2 linked regions of the Rhinolophus ferrumequinum genome follow. The protein of the gene in region 1 purifies or fractionates together with the protein of each later gene. This does not show direct contact. Links are inferred from orthologs where the notes say so. Each region holds a gene or a part of one and is shown in the gene's direction. Other genes may lie near its edges.

The links.
Region 2: the proteins of ATMIN (region 1) and UBR5 purify together in Homo sapiens (affinity purification with western blotting; 3 studies listed by BioGRID). This does not show direct contact. The link is inferred for Rhinolophus ferrumequinum from reciprocal best matches to the Homo sapiens genes ATMIN and UBR5.

Annotation. Positions count from the first base shown.
Region 1 is NC_046298.1:27,187,632-27,196,002, forward strand, and holds the start of ATMIN (ATM interactor), read left to right. Parts: upstream 1-5,160; 5' UTR 5,161-5,187; coding exon 5,188-5,514; intron 5,515-8,371. Other genes in the region: CENPN (centromere protein N), read left to right, coding at 896-1,022, 1,267-1,349. UniProt on the Homo sapiens protein: Transcription factor. Plays a crucial role in cell survival and RAD51 foci formation in response to methylating DNA damage. Involved in regulating the activity of ATM in the absence of DNA damage. May play a role in stabilizing ATM.
Region 2 is NC_046297.1:43,905,520-43,913,375, reverse strand, and holds the start of UBR5 (E3 ubiquitin-protein ligase UBR5), read left to right. Parts: upstream 1-4,706; 5' UTR 4,707-4,767; coding exon 4,768-4,829; intron 4,830-7,856. UniProt on the Homo sapiens protein: E3 ubiquitin-protein ligase involved in different protein quality control pathways in the cytoplasm and nucleus. Mainly acts as a ubiquitin chain elongator that extends pre-ubiquitinated substrates.

The DNA of each region.
Region 1 (8,371 bases):
TTGAAAAATGTAAAACCTTCAGAAAACTCACAAGAATTTTAAAGTGAATATCCATTTCCCCTTTGCTTCAATTCACTAATTATTAACATTTCGCCATTATTAACATTTGCTTTCTTTCTGTTTCTTTATTCTGAATCATTTGAGATAGTTGCAGACATCACTCACCCTTTAGATATTTCAACATACTGTCTCTACATGTGAAGGATCATTTTAAGTTAAAAAAAAAAAAAAGAATTGAACTTAGAATCTATTGAAGTAGCACTACATGGATATTTGATGATATTAAGGAATTGTTATTAATTTTGTTTTATGTGTGGTAATGTTATGGGAATAAAAGAGAGTCCTTTTTTAGGTCTTTTTTAGGTACATACTGAAATATTTACTGATGGAATGCTATGGTGTCCTAGATGTGCTTTAGAATAATCCAGTAGGGGTGGGCAGTAGGGAATGGGACGTGGGGTAATAAATGAAAAAAAACTGGCCACCAGTTCTGTTCCTTACTTTTGTATGTTTTTTAATAACTTCCATAATCAGGAGTAAAAAAGGAATCATGGTAGTGATTCAAAAAATACAACATTTTCATATTGAAATTACAGATTACAAAAGGTAGTGCTAATTTTCCATTTAAGAATGCCAAAAAGGACACTGGGGACGGAACTGATATCCAAGGTCTCGTGGGTCAGGCACTATGCACACTTGGCATTTTGTGTGTGCTGTCGTTTGATATGCTGGTTGCCCTCTACGTTTGCAACTAGCAAATTAAATGGTTCCCACCCTCATTAATCCCTATATTTCTTTATGACAAGAATTAATGAAACGTGTAATCCGATTTTGTTATATTTTGCCATTGCAACTGATACATTTAATATTCATTTATAAATACATTTGTTGACAGCTTGAAACAAAATTCAAAAGTGACTTAAATGGGGGCATCTTGGCTGAAAGAGAAGAACCCCTCCGGTGCCTCGTAAAGTTCTCTAGCCCGCATCTTCTGGAAGCACTGAAATCCTTAGCACCAGCCGGTAAGTAGTCAGTTTATTTTACAAACTAGAAGAATTAACCGCGTGCTATATTCAGTGCTCTCTTTGCTAACTAATTACCTCTGAGCTTTCTCACAGCCAGCCTGCCGTCCCATCATGCCCTGTTTTGCATATTCTGCTTCTGCACTTAGTGGAGTCCATGATCCACACTCTAATCTTGCCCATTTTTAAAGTGACTCAAATCTTTGCCCCTGTGATTATTTTCATTTTTTTTTTTTAATTTCAGGTATTGCAGATGCACCGCTTTCTCCATTGCTCACTTGCATACCCAGCAAAGGAATGAATTATTTTAAAATTAAAGATAAATAAGATGTATGTGGTTTTGCAAGCATCACCTCTCCTTGACTATGTTGCATACTTATTTCAGTTAATGGCTTACTGGATAGCTTCTGTCTAAAAACTTGTATTTTAGAAATTAACCCTTGATATTGACAATTTAAAAATGTTCAATATAATCGTTGGGAATGATTCTTTCCTCTTACACTGTGTGCTCCCCCTTCCCCATATCCTGCAAAGCACAGCAGCTGTGGATCTTTAGGATGTGACAGGATGTCCTTTTTTCCTCACTCCTGTCTCTCCTTGATCCTGGAGAGTTCTGGTTCCAATTGTTCGTTTTCAGAGATTTTCTCGTAAGCCTTGGATCATAGAAAGAAGCACCAAAAAACTATACCCAACTCAAAACTTTCTAGGAGAATCATAAAATCAATCCATTCATAGGGTAGAGTTGGGTCCATTGAGTTATAGCAGAAGGTAGCATATCAGATCATTCAGTTATATAAAATAATGGTTTTGTTGTGAATATGATACTTTTCATAATCTATTTTATCATATATATGGCATTCAAACTGATCAATATTATACTGATTTATGAATAAAGGTATTTAGAAAATGGTACATCAGTGACTTTTTTTTTTTTTAAGATTTTATTGGGGAAGGGGAACAGGACTTTATTGGGGAACAGTGTGTACTTCCAGGACTTTTTTCCAAGTCAAGTTGTTGTCCTTTCAATCTTAGTTGTGGAGGGTGCCGTTCAGCTTCAAGTTGTTGTCCTTTCCGGCAACCTTGTGGTTGAGAGGACGCACTCCAACCAACTGAGCCATCCGGGAGCTCAGCGGCAGCTCAGCTCAAGGTGCCGTGTTCAAACTTAGTTGCAGGGGGCGGAGCCCACCATCCCTTGCGGGACTTCGAGGAGTTGAACCGGCAACCTTGTGGTTGAGAGCCCACTGGCCCATGTGGGAATCGAACCGGCAGCCTTCGGAGTTAGGATCAGGGAGCTCCAACCGCCTGAGCCACCGGACCCACCACATCAGTGACCTTTGATGAAAATCAAAAAGAGCCTTAATGTACAAATCAATTTTACATTACAAATTTAAAACAATTTTTAAAAAAGGGTTAAAGTATGCTTTATAATGTAATGGTACTTTCTACAAACTGTACGTATCTTATGTGGAAAATATGGTTTTAGATTTAATTAGCAATAGCAAAGACACTTGAGTTATCTCAGAGTGAGGCTCTGAGTCTGCAGGACTTAATGATGCTAATATCCTTGTATGTCATAGTCATGGTTTAGAGCATCTGTCCCTACGTGCGCACACGTGGCAGGCACTTCTGCTCGGTGCCTGAATGCCTGCGTTAGGTCTGAACAGAGACCCTGCAAGTGCCTAGGTTGGTTCTCACAGGCTTATAGTCTTCCCTTGTGCTGGGTGGGGATGTGCAACTGGAGCCGGAACAAGAAGATGCTAATGGTATCATTACCCAGCCTCAAGTATTAGTGGAATCACTTGAGGCTGCACCCTGAGGCTCTGCCAGACAGAGGCTCCTGCTTAAGGAAATGGTAGTACAGTGGAGCTCTTATCTATTATGTGCTTGATAGTCCAGAGACACATACTGTATTCAAATGGAGTCTTGTGAACAGATGGAGTCGTAAATGTAGATCTAAGGACCTCTACGGCCAAAGGAATATACTGCCTCCTGTAAAATTAGGTAAAGGAATTGCTTCAGAATAATCCAGTGGGATTTTGTAATTTTTTTCTAATTAGGAATCTAATTTTACATTAGGTAGGGTCTTCAAAACTATTCAGCTAACATTTACTGAGCACTTACTATGTGGCAGGCACTGTGCTAAGTATTTTAATGTGCATTATCTTATTTTCATAACAATTCTATAAGGCAGGCAGCATTACTAGTTTTATGCTACTTAAGTGAATACCAAAGCTTAGGCTAGTAAGTGGGTGGACCCACATTAACTGCAGGCAGTCAGACTCCAGAGTCTGCACTCTTAGACAGCATGCGGAAAGGAAGAATAGCCATGGATGCTTTCCCACACATAGATGTGGGGCGGGGAGTTTGGTCCACAGTACTTTATAAATCAGAATTAGTTCCTGATGGGCAGAATACACCCCTGCTCAAAGATGTCCACATCCTAATCCCTGTAAATATGTTACCTTACAAGCAAAGGGACTCTGCAGATGGGGAGAGTTCCTCAATGGATCCAGTGTAATCAGAAAGTGGAAGCAGAAGAGAACAGGGAGATGTGACTACTGAAGAAATCACAGTGATGTGACAAGGACTCAACTCACCATTCCTGACTGAGAAGCTGGAAAAGGGAAGTAAACAGATTTTTCCATAAAGCCTCCAGAAGAAGTGGAGCCCTACCAACACCTTGATCTTAACATAGTAGAGTCATTTCAGACTTCTGACCTCCAGAACTGTAAGATAATGAAGAAAGAGTGAAGATGGGGAATATATAAAATGGAGTCATTTTAACCAGGCTGCTAAAATTATTAACATGAAGGTGGAGGCATGAGGAAAGATTCCATTCTAGTTCTAACTAATCTGGGAATGTAAAATTTTATGAACTTTCCAGTCCTGTGTCAATGCCTAGATTTAAATCTGGACCTCCAGATGACACTGATTATCCCCTAAAGGACTCACATATACACCCACCTGACATCCACTGTCCAGACCATGGGACATGACCAGACCTCCTGGGGCCCATACTTTGGACCACCTGGCATCCAGACTGCCTGACATCTGACTGATAACTGTCCTGGACCAATCCTAGGACTAAGAATGCAGGACTGATAATTCTCAAGACTGTCCTTTCTATAATAAAAACTTTTCTTTCTTTGGAACACTTCTGAGTTTTTGCCTAGCTCTGTTCCCACTGTGCAAAACTCCAAGACCCTTGAATAATTCTTTCATTTATTTCTAGCCAAAGCCTTCAGACTCTTTTTGAGTTGGTTATATAATAACAAATCTGTTGTTTTAAGCTACTAGTTTCTAGTAATTTGTTATTGCAGCAATAGAAACCTCATACAGCTACTAATATATAAAAGTTGGAAGTTTTCACATAAAAATCTTGAAAAATAGTTCTAGTGATACCAAAGATGAGTAGCAGCTGTCCCCTTTCAACAAAGGATGTATTTCCCATTTCGCTGTAGCCCTCACCCCTCCCTTTTGTCTATATCTGGCCTACTATGTTCATTTACATGACCTTCCTAGTCCCTCTAGGAACTTAGGTTTTAGAATCCTGCCCTGAGCTACACTGTCTCCCAAATAGTAATCGAATGTCATCAGTTAAAATACAGGCAAGTAAATCCAGCCCCCTTAAAATGAACTGTCAATTATAACAATCCTTTCATTTGTACAACGTGACGTACTTGGTTACTTCTCGGCAAAGATGGGGAAAACTTATAGTACATACCCGCTATGGCTGTTTTGAGGACAAAATGAGATACTAAAGGAAAAGTGCATTCCCCAGTGTCTGACACGTGGTAAACCCTAAATAAACGATAGCCAAATGCCATTGAACATTTGGTCTATCTCTAATCTTTGGGAAGTAAAGTTCCTGAACGCATTACTTTTTCAATCCAATTATTGCGCCAGGTCAAGTTTCTAGGAAGGCAAAGAATGGATCAGCGGAACCAGTACCTTCTCCTTGTTCATATGAATCCCTGTGAAGTTTTGCAACCTGCCCGCCTCACCTGGCGACGGCTCCCCGCAGACGCGTCCACTGCCGGCAGGGGGCGCCGCGGCTGTCGAGGCTCGGCCGGATGCTAATGAGCCCGCGGCCCCGCCCCGTGCCGGAAGTTGCAGCGGCGTGAGGCGGGCCCTGCGAGCTGGGCCCGGCTGCTGTGCGGGAGCCATGGCGGCCTTTGAGGCGGCGGCGGCGGGTCCCGCGGCTCTGGCCTCGGATGCCCCGGCCGTCCCAGCGGCCGCGAGGGGAGCCGCCGCCGCCTCGGACCTTTGGGGACCCCCAGGACGGCTGAGGGGCAGCCGGCCGCGGCACTCGGCGGCAAGGCAGCAGCCCGCGGGTCCGGCGCCGCCGGCCCGGGAGCTGATCCAGCCGTCGGTGAGCGAGCTGTCCCGGGCTGTGCGGACCAACATTTTGTGCACTGTGCGTGGCTGCGGCAAGATCCTGCCCAACAGCCCCGCGCTCAACATGCACCTGGTCAAGAGCCACCGCCTGCAGGTGAGCCCGCCGCCGGACGGCTCCTCCCCAGGCCTGGCGCTGACAAAGAGCCTTGGTCGCGGGCGAGGGAGCAGGTCCGGCTTTCAGGGCGGCGCGGCCCGAGGTCGGGAATACGCTGTGTGAGTCCAGCCTCCGTCGGCCAGCATCGCAGGGGGCTTCCAAGTACATAAAACGGGCCAAACCGAATGGTTAGTCCCAGCCGGGGAAAGTGGGAGCTAGGAAGCGGGAACGCGTAATAATAGGAAAACACTGTGTCATGCCACTCGGCTGTCAGGCTGGGACACCCCAGGACTACCCGCCTTACGTCACGACCCGGGCGTTTTATACATTTATCTGGTTAGTTCTCACAGCGACTTCGTGAGGTACGTATCGTATGGTCCTCACTCTGTTGATGAGAAACAGATTACGCAACCTGAGTCGTGCTGGGATTTAAACCTGGTCTCTGGTTCTAAAGCCCTGTTCTTTCCACCACGCCCACAATAGCTCCTTCAGGCGTTGAGGTCCTGCCGCGTTGTTAAAAGGTAGCTGCAGATCTGGCTGGGCGCTGTCAGCGTCTGTGTGGATACAAGTTTCAGTGTCGATAAAATCAGCTTTGCTCAGGAATGAGACCTAAAGGCAAACTGCCCCCCTTGGATCATCTTTAAGCGCGAACACGGTACAATATGAACGTAGTAGTCTGAGCATCCCTTCCATCTTGTGTAAAACAGAGAGGTGATTTTCAACCTTTAGTGCACGCCTGTGGACATCTTATTAAAATTCCAGATGTTCAGCTCTGCCCAGACCTATTAAATCATAATTTCTCAGTCATAACAATAGAAAGTTCCCTTTCACCACTGAGAGCCTTTCTTTGCCAACAGTGACATAATTTGAAACCCTAAGTCACTGAAAGAAGTTTTGTGAATGTGTAGCCTTTTGATGGTCTGAATTGATTCAGGAGAAAGTTTAAATTACTTCATGTAGTGCACGTTCTGTCTGTGCGCAGGTAAATCCTCCTTGGAAGCTTCCTTAGAATCAAGCTTCTGATTAGAATTTAACAGCAGAAAGGTTGAGGTTATAGTCTCTAGTAGGGGAAATGTGTGCCAGGAAGGGTAAACTATTTTAGCACCAACTGAGCAGAGATGCAACAACATTCTCGTAGGAAGATTCGGGACCCCAAACAGGAAATGTACATGGAGGTATACTGAGGAAGACCCAGCAGGTGGGGCGGCAGTTTTCCTCAGAATTGCTTTGGGTGTCTTCTAGGACACAAGTGCAGTAACTCAGGACATGGTCTTCAGTCTCCTATTTTCTCTCTCATACTAAATTGTAACTAAATCCTTCCTTAACCATATTTTAATTCGAGTGGATGAGTTTATATTTGTAGGAACTCTACAGCCAAATCCCTTGGTTCTCTTTAGCTCATGTACAACAGCCATCACCCACCTTCAGTGTCATCCCCTCCCTGATGGACAGACAACTAAGGCAGACACTGCAGCTCTGAGCACAAATGAAGCTGCCAGTCTGACCAGGACCCACCTGGCGGTGGCCTGAGCATCACTCTAGCAGCACTTTTCAACGGTTATATTGTTCGTTTCTCTGGAATTGCTGCTGGGAGCTCTGCATCTCTCAAGACTCTTTGAAGCTCTGTTAAGCATAAAGATAGCACTTACTCTTCCGGATTAGCTTGGTAGTAGGTATGCAATAGGTTTATTTCTAAGTATGTTTGCAAAATATGTAAAGTTCAGGAATTCTGAAGATACCAATACATATAATAAGTCTAAAAAGGAGGAATATGTTTGAGGCAAGTACCAACTTTGGCAGTCAAATCTTTACTTGGACTTGCGCACTTCAGAGTATAAGTATCCTCCCGTTGCTTATCTGTGGGAAGTCATTCTTCCAGTTCTAGTCAGATTCGTTTTTCAGAAATCACTTGTCTGAAGACAGCATAGTATACTTAAGATCCCTTCTGAACTGAAATGTTGAACAACGAAAAGATGGACTCGTCTGAGTGACCTAGGGAGACCTGTTTCAGCAAGAGTTTTAAAAACTCCACCAGAACCATCATTGTGTTTTTCTTGTCACACCGGCTCATCTTCCTGCCTTTCTCTGCCTTTCTAGCCATGGTGCTCAGCAGCCCTTGAGCATCTGCTCTCTTGGTGGAAAGGGGGTTCATTTTTCTTTAACAAAAGTAGCCTATGTGACAAAATAGTCATATTCGAATAGTGGTGCCCCAGTGTGGCAAATCTATACCCTCAGTCTGGATCCTGAATAGAAGGCTCTTGAATTCAAACATTACCTCTCGACACTTGATATTCTCTAAGTATGAGAAGGAGGAGGCCTGGGGACAAGGGCTGACTGCAGACTCCCTGTGATTTTGAAAGCAGTCTGTGTTTGGACCAGAGATTCCACTACCAGTCAAGCGTGCACCTACTTTCTGCTCTGAAGCTAGTCTGAGTATATCTGCTTAGCACATTTGTATAATATTCAATGGACGTTTTCCCTTTCATTCTCTTGGTTACAGCTACTTGCATAATTCTAGTTTCTTTCCTAGTTTTTATTTTTTCTAGATTATGATCATTTTTTATTCCCTTTCCCATTAGTTGCTGTGTGGTTCTTACTCTATTCTAATCTTTCTTCACAGGATACCTTGCCCCCAACCGAATATTCCCTTCCTAACGTAAATGATTAATAAATCCTTCTGAAGGATGAGGGATAAGACTGGGACTGGATGGTAGAGGGTACATGCTGCCTTTTGATTTTATGTGTGTTCTTAGCATACATGTCTGTATTCCATATCCTGTAAGGAAATCAGAACATACTCTGGTTCGGCCTTGCCTATGGGGGGGATCCGTGGAGAAATGAAAGCTGGTGATTCAGA
Region 2 (7,856 bases), on another chromosome or scaffold:
TTGCTAAGAAATTTTCTTCATGAATGGTTATAGAATTTTATAACATCCTTTTCTTACTCTACTGAAGGGATTTAATTATTTTTCTCCTTTATTTTGTTATACGTTGAATTACTTTTGCTGATTTTCGTATGTCAAATCATTGAACTTGTATGTCAAAAGGAATCTACTATCCTTTTGAATTTATTTTGCTAACATGTTTTCTTTTAAATAAACTTTATATTTTAGAGCAGTTTTAGGTTCACAGAAAAATTGAGAAGAAGGTACAAAAATTTTCTACCTACTCCTGCCCCACACATTCATATCCTTGCCCATTATCAACATCCCTACCAGAGTGGTCCACTTGCTACAACTGATGGACCTTCATTGAAACATCATTATCATCCAGAGTCCATAGTTTACATTAGGTTTCACTCTTGGTGTTGTACATTCTATGTGTTTGGACAAATGTATAGCAACATGTATTCACCATTATCATATCATACAGAGTAGTTTTACTGCCCTTAAAATCTTCTGTGCTCTGCCTAGTCATCCCTCTCTCTTCATTAACCGCTGACGAACACTGAAGTTTTTACTGTCTCCATAGTTTTGACTTTTCCAGAATGTCATATAGTTGAAAACAGACTATATAATGTTTCAGATTGGCTTCTCTCATTTAGTAATATGCCTTTAAAGTTCCTCCATATCTTTTCATGCTTGATTGCTCAACTTTTCTTAGTGCTGAATAATATTCCATCGTCTGGATGAATCAGTTTATTTATGCATTCACTGACTAAAGGACATCTTGGTTGCTTCCAAGTTGTAGCAATTATGAATAAAACCGCTATAAACTTCTGTGTGGTTCTTGTATGTACACAAATTTTCAAATCCATTGGATAAATACCAAAGACTGTGATTGCTGGATCATATGTTAAGAGTATGTTTACTTTCATAAGAAACCACCAAAATGTCTTCTAAAGAGACTGGACCATTTTGTGTTTCCACCAGCAATGAATGAGTTTTTGGTGCTCTGCATGTTGGGCAGCATTTGGTGGGGTCAGTGTTGTGGCTTTTTAAGCCCCGTTGTTTTATTCAGTTAACATTCATATACCTACATATTTTCCCCTTTCACACCTCTTCATTCCTTTATGCCTCTCTGGGCTTACAGTGGGGAATCATTTTCCTTTTGCTTGAAGAATACCCTTTAGTATGGGTTGAGTCCTAAAAATTTCTCACATTTTTCTTCCCTTTTCTTTTTCTTCTCTCTCTTTTTCTCCCTGACCCCTGCCAAATGTCTTTGTTTTTCTTTCATTCTTGAGCCTATTATTTAGCACTGTGCTTTGCCCATAGTAGGGAAAACTTGAAGTGTCAAGGAGTTAACCCAAGAGCAATCCTGAACTACTGAGGGATGCTGCTGATGGATAAATAACTCCAGCTTGCCCTCCACTCAGTAGGGTAATTCTGAGGTGTGTCCCACACATTCCCTCAGATGGTCCCCAGTGGGATTGAATTCTAGTTGCCCACAGTGGTAGAACATTCATCAGTTCATCTTTTATTGGGTTTCATCCATTCTCTGTCTCATTTCTCCATTCCTATATAGTGCTTCCTGTAATCACTTCCCAAATAAACTATTTATAGTCAAATCCTTGTATTAAGTTCTGTTTTGGGGGAAATCAAATCTAAGACATGGCCTATTTCAGGGGTATGGTCCTTCAGGGCTCAGCACAAAGTAAGAGGGGTTCATTAGCACTCACCACAGCATTGGGATACCTTGGACATCAATTCCTGTTGTTTTAACCCTGAGTGCTTGTCAGAATTGTTCAGTCTCTTGGCTTCTCACTCTGTGTTTCTGGAATTGGCATTCATCCCAGAGGACAAAGTGGCTCCAAACACAAGACTCACTTTCTTGGGTCTTATTCATCCCTTGGATCCCAGTTTGGTAATTCATCATTATTTTGTTAACTCTCTGTGCCTTTAAGCAGATTTAAAGAAATATTTTGGCTAACTTTTCTAGTTGTCCTCCAAGTGAGAATTAGTCCAAATTATTAGAAAAAAGCCCCTCCCCCCTTCTAGGCTTGTGTTGCACTTTGTCTTCAAAGAGCTTCTTCTTGAACCTTGCTTATCTCCATTCCCTATTTGTATCTCCCCCTCCCCCATCCATGCAATGGGCTTGCACAACTCCATGCCTTTATTCTTGTTTTCCCCTGTTCAAACCGTGACCCACCAAAGTGTTGGGGCCCTGGGAGAGGAAAATTCTCCCTAACATTCCAGCCTGGGACAACAAAAAGGTCACTATGTCAAGATGGCTGTCAGTCAAAGATCAAGTGGGCAGTTTGAATGGGCTGCTAGGAGTGCGGAGAGGGGCCTTCAACTAGGAGAGAGAGTCTCAGTTCCAGGAAACTGGGAGTGGGTAAATCAAGTTGGAAGCCTGATGAAAAGATGAAGACAGATTTGGAAGAAAGACTCATGAAGCAAAATATGGGTATGGTGTGGAGTTTTTTCTGGGGCAAATGTAAAATGACTAGGTTTAAGTTGTATATTCTATTTGCCCAGAATATTCTTGAAAGCTCAGCTTAAATGACTTTTCTTAATTTTCTTGGCTGGAATCACTTCCTCCTTTAACTTCCATAGCACTCTTATTGCATTTATCATATCACATTTTTCCCATTGGCTTTGAATAGTCTGTTCCTTCTAAATTATTAACTAGATGGCAGCTGTGGTATAGTGGAAAGAGCAACACAATCAAAGTTAGATGACCTGGGTTTAAGTCTCAGCTTCAGCACTTACCTGAAATGTTTGAGCCTCAGTGTCTGCATCTATATAATGAAGATAATATTATTTACCCCATAGTGTGATTTGAGTATTAAAAGACAAATGTATAAAGTGGTATATAATGAGAGCCTGAAAAATAAAAGCTTCCATTTGCAGAGCCTAAGTGTTATGAAGAGCCCTAGGAGCTTGACATTCATTATCTTAGAGTTCTCCACAACCTTAGGTAGATCTATTATTTAGAATACAAATTAGAAAAAGACACTATGATAGGTTAAACAGTTTAATCAATGTCACATAGTAGCAGAAACAGGACACAAATCCAAGTCTGTCTGGGTCTAAAACTAGCAGTGTTCATTGGTTTACCCTGCTTTCCCATGGCCTCACATAGACTTCTAATAAGTAGTAGAGCTGAATCACTTTTTAGTCCAAACTCATCTGGGCCGATTTTGGAACAAGTGACCTACAAAAGTGTTCCATTATCTATCTCAAAGGGTACCTACTCTATCCTGATTTATAAATTTTCACATATTTTGTTCAAAAGAAGCTCCTAAGCAAAAGTGTGTATATTGTAATGTATTAACAGAAGAAAAGTGTTATTTAACATTAAGAACGGTTCACAGGACCTCTGATTTAATGAACATTCACACAGCCTGGAGAAGAGGCTTCATGTTTTCACTCTTTGCCTTGAAAGAGGTACCTGCTTTTTGAAGGCGACACAGAAGCCTTTGGGAAGAAAGCTATGAACTGGCTCCACAGTAAAAAGCAGCTAGATCCATTCAAGAATTTGCCGTTTTAATCCCACTGATCTTAAGTTGAAGAACGCCTTTGCAGAGTAGATAGATCATCTTTCATTTAAAAGTCGTAAAAAAAAAATGAATAATTTAAATCAGGAAATTTGTGGAAATTTCCACATTTTGTCTTTGTCTGGCTACGTGACGATGGTGGTGTTGGGGAAATTGGGGAGAACAGGGTGATAAAAGAAGTTGCTGCAAAGTCAGCTCTAAGATTAGGACCTTGTGGAGAGGTTCTTACATAACTACCTTCTCCAATAAAAGGGTGTTCATTTCTTGCCCCTTAACTGATTTCACACTTCCACTTTAAATACAACTGCGGAGGAAGGACCAGAAACAAAAAAAAACCCCAGGGTACGCAAAATAATTAGGGCTGCCCCAGGGAAATCAAACCGAGACAACGCAGGAGCCCCTCTTCCTTCCCACCTCCCCCGGGACACACTTTCAAGCTACTGGCGGACTCCCTACCAGCGCGGGCGGACGCGCCCCTCCGCCTCCTCCTTCCCTAACACGTGCTCTCCGGAACACTCACTGGGAGCTGTCCCTCGGGGGCCGAACGGACCAATACGCACGCGCCTTACAGCACCGTGGCCAGACAACGTTGAGCGGCCCAATCCAAAGGGCCTTACAGCCCGTTTCCCGGAGCCCCGCCCCCTCGCAGCCGTGCCCCCACCCGCCGGTCTCCTCCCTTCTCCTCCCTCCGTTCGCCCCTCCCCCGCCGCTCGGGAGCGCAGCCTGCGAGACGGAGAAACTGGGGCAGAAGTGAAGATGGCGGCGACGGTGCTGGTGGCGGCGGCGGCTTCTCGCCAGTGACGCGCGGTGCGGGCTCATCTCCCTCCCCACCTCCCTAGTCCGGACCCCGTCTGCCGCCGGGACCACACCGTCCCCTTAGTCCGCCCCACTCCTCCCTCCCCAGTCGCCCCTCTCCCAACGCCCCGCTGCCGCTGGCGGCGGCGCGCCCCAGGTCCCGGCCGCCGGCCTCGCAGACCTGTGCGCTGTCGCCAGGAGAGCGGGTGGCGTGTTGATCCGTCCTCCTCGCCCCGCAGACTGCCGGGCGGTGGACACACGCCCGGCAGGGGGGCAGCGGCGGCCCCTGCGCATTTGCTTCCCTCCATTTGGGGACTGGGAGGCGGCGGCGGCAGTGGGTTTTGGGGAGGGGAAGTGGGTTGGGGGGGCGGGCGAGAGCGGGAGGGGGCCGTCCTCGGGAGGAGGACGAGAAGGAAGCACCATGACGTCCATCCATTTCGTGGTTCACCCGCTGCCGGGCACCGAGGACCAGCTCAATGACAGGTAATAGGGCCGGCGGGCGGGGGGAGGGGCGCCTCCCCGCCCTCCCCTTCCCTCCCCCACGGGGCCGCGCCGGGGCGGGCGCCAGTGTTTACGCGCCTGCCGACGGTGGGGAGGTCCTCACTGCCCCAGACTAGGCCCTTTCCGGGGCAAACTTCTGGGCGCGGGGGCCCGGGGACGTGGGGGGAGCACGGTGTAGATGGGAAAGCGCGCTGCACCCCCCTTGCCCCGTAGGAGCCGCGTTGAACTGGGCGGAGATGGGGGGGGGAGATCGCTCCCGGGGGGGCGGGCTGTAATTACCGCCCGGGCCAGGCCAGAGGAATCCATATTAGCCAAAGTTGAATTGAGACAGACAATGCGGATGGGGGATGGTGGAGGTAAAAAGAGAGGGAAGAGGAGAAACGGGGCGAGGGGCCCCGGGGTAGGCTGCGCTCGCCGGGGCCCCTGGGAGTTGTGTCCGGTGGGGTGGTTTGGACCTGCCAAGCTTGAAGATCCGGGGCGGGGGGGGGGGGGGGAAGCAGGGAGGAGAAGCTGATTCCCGGCAGATCGCGGTGGGGGGTGGGGGAGGAAGCGCCATGATTATTGTTATTATTATTAAATATGAGCCCCTGCAGTGAGGTTTGCCTGCCCGGGGAGGGGATGAATTCAGGCGGGGGTGGGGAAGTGGGTTGGATTCCCTTTGCTCTCCTTCTCCCTAAACGCTGCTGGCAGCTCCAGCTCCCGGTCCCTCTGGTGCGAGCTTTTTTGTTTGTTTGTTTCCTTTTTTATTCTAATGATAGTGTTTTCGTGAGTTGTAATTTGACAGCTGAAAACCGTGCGTAGAGTCAAAGGAAAACTTACGTCTGCAGTTCGCAATGCTGCTTTTCTTAACATGCTGTAAATTTCTGGGATGGGTTTACAATGGGCGGAGGAGGAATGATTTTTCTTTTTTCTTTCTTTCTTTCTTTTTTTTTTTTTTTTGTCTTTCATAAGACGGCTGTTTTGGCCGTGGATTCCTCCCCTTCCTCTTCCACGGTTCCCTGCCAGTTTAGGATATTGAATTGCAGGGCCGCATGCTTTCAGGGAACTGAGATAAAGCAGGAAAAGTTCCTTCACTGTTGCAAAACAGACTCCGAGGAGGTTGAGGGAGGCCTCCATTAAAGCAACTCTTAGAATCTAGGACTCGGATCTAATGATGGGCTAAATGTTCTCAGGGTCAGAAAGTGGGGCATTTTAATACTCCTTCTACCCGATGCTTTCGCTGCTGTCTTTCCTTTGAGTATTATTAGAAGCCACCTGGACCCAAGTTTTGAAGTTAGATATAATTTTTGCTAAGTGACCGGGTGACAAGTTGCATGACGCCCTGTTTGTCATGCGCTTCCCAGAGGGAGGAAGAGGCCTAACTTGCTGCTATGATATTGGCCTTGGTCTCAAAGTATCCAACTGCCTCAGGTGGGGCCGACAGCTTTTTAATTTGAAAGCTGGCGATTTAGTTTCTGGCCCTGGGTTCGGATTTCTCTGATGTTTGCTGTAGCCATATTGTATTTAACATGTTTGTGAAACTTTTGGAATACTGTCTGAAAATATTAACCACTTGGACTTACCACATGTTCCTTTAAATATTGAAAGACATTTTAAGTCATCTATTTTAACATTTTATTAGGGATCCTTACTCTGATTTTATTTCATTAGTGCTAGAGATCTTTTTAAAGATTTTTAACATAAGATTTTTTGGGGGGTAAATTTTAGAATCAGGCTAGAGGTGGTGATAGTTCTGGTGTCATTCACAGAACCAAGTTGGTAGTGCCTGTATTGTAACTTATTTTGTAACTTAGAAAATTGCACCAGGGAGCAGAGAAATAGGGCATATTTTCTGTATTAGTCCTACTTTATATATACCAAGAATCCTGACAAGTTCATTCAATGACTGCATGCCAAAACCTATTCTGCAGTGGTGTTGGGTATTTTGATTCAATTTTGAATATTCCTTATGCTTTAGCTAATCTGAGAAATTTATAAATAATGTATCTTTTTTAAAGCTATGTTTTCTTTTTTCATTCTTAATATAAACATTCAGCTTTGTTTTTTTATTCCTATAGTGTCAGTATACAACATTAAGAATATTTAGATCATCTTTTCATTTTATGAAATAAAAGACAAGTGTATTTGATTCAGATCATAAAACGTGTGCATGGGGTAGGGGGGAACAGATATTTTGAAAAAATACAAAAGTGCTGTCAGTAAAATTTTAGGGACCTGTAGTTACATCTAGTAGCAGTAAAACTGGTCTGTTGAGATTTGTGAAGGCAACATTTGAGACAGTCCTGTATCGAGTTTTGAAGTGCAGTAGTTTGAAGGGCAGTAGTTTGACTTGTGGTGGAGCTGTTCTGTCTCCCCTTCAAAAGTAAAGCGTCATTGCATACCTAGTTGCAAAGTATAATAGGAACAACCCACTGGTGCATTGCTTGAGAAAAATCTGTTCCCAAAAGATACTGATTTTCTGGAATCTTTTAACTAACTAGAATAAGAAGCCCAGAGTATTTTCATCCTCAGATGAAAACTACCAAGATTTTGTAAGTTTTGGTAATAAAAAAGCGTGTGCTCCTATAGCTTGATTTTTATGAGAAATGTGCCTATGATAGTCACAAATGAAATAATTTTGCGTGAAAAAAGGTATAAATAGGTAGACTATTCTTTATACAAAAAGAAGTAAGATTGGACAGGCAGTGTGGTACTGCAAATAAATTGCTCGGTTAAAGAAAACTTAGGGGACTCAAAACATCAGTATTTTCTTCAAATATGTTTTCTTTCCTTAAATAGCCACATCCTGTTAAAAATCAAATATCTTGTTCAGTGTAATCTTGTGATGTCTCAAATATCTAAAATACACATAGCATTAAAGAAAAGGTTGTATCTGATTTTTTTCTTTGTGTTTTCACTTGGTAATTCTATGGTAGTTTTTACACATTTTTGTATGTTTAAGTCTTTAATTTTTGGCTCTGAGATACCAAATAATGAACGCAGTTGATGTATAGGTGGGGATGGCTAGGA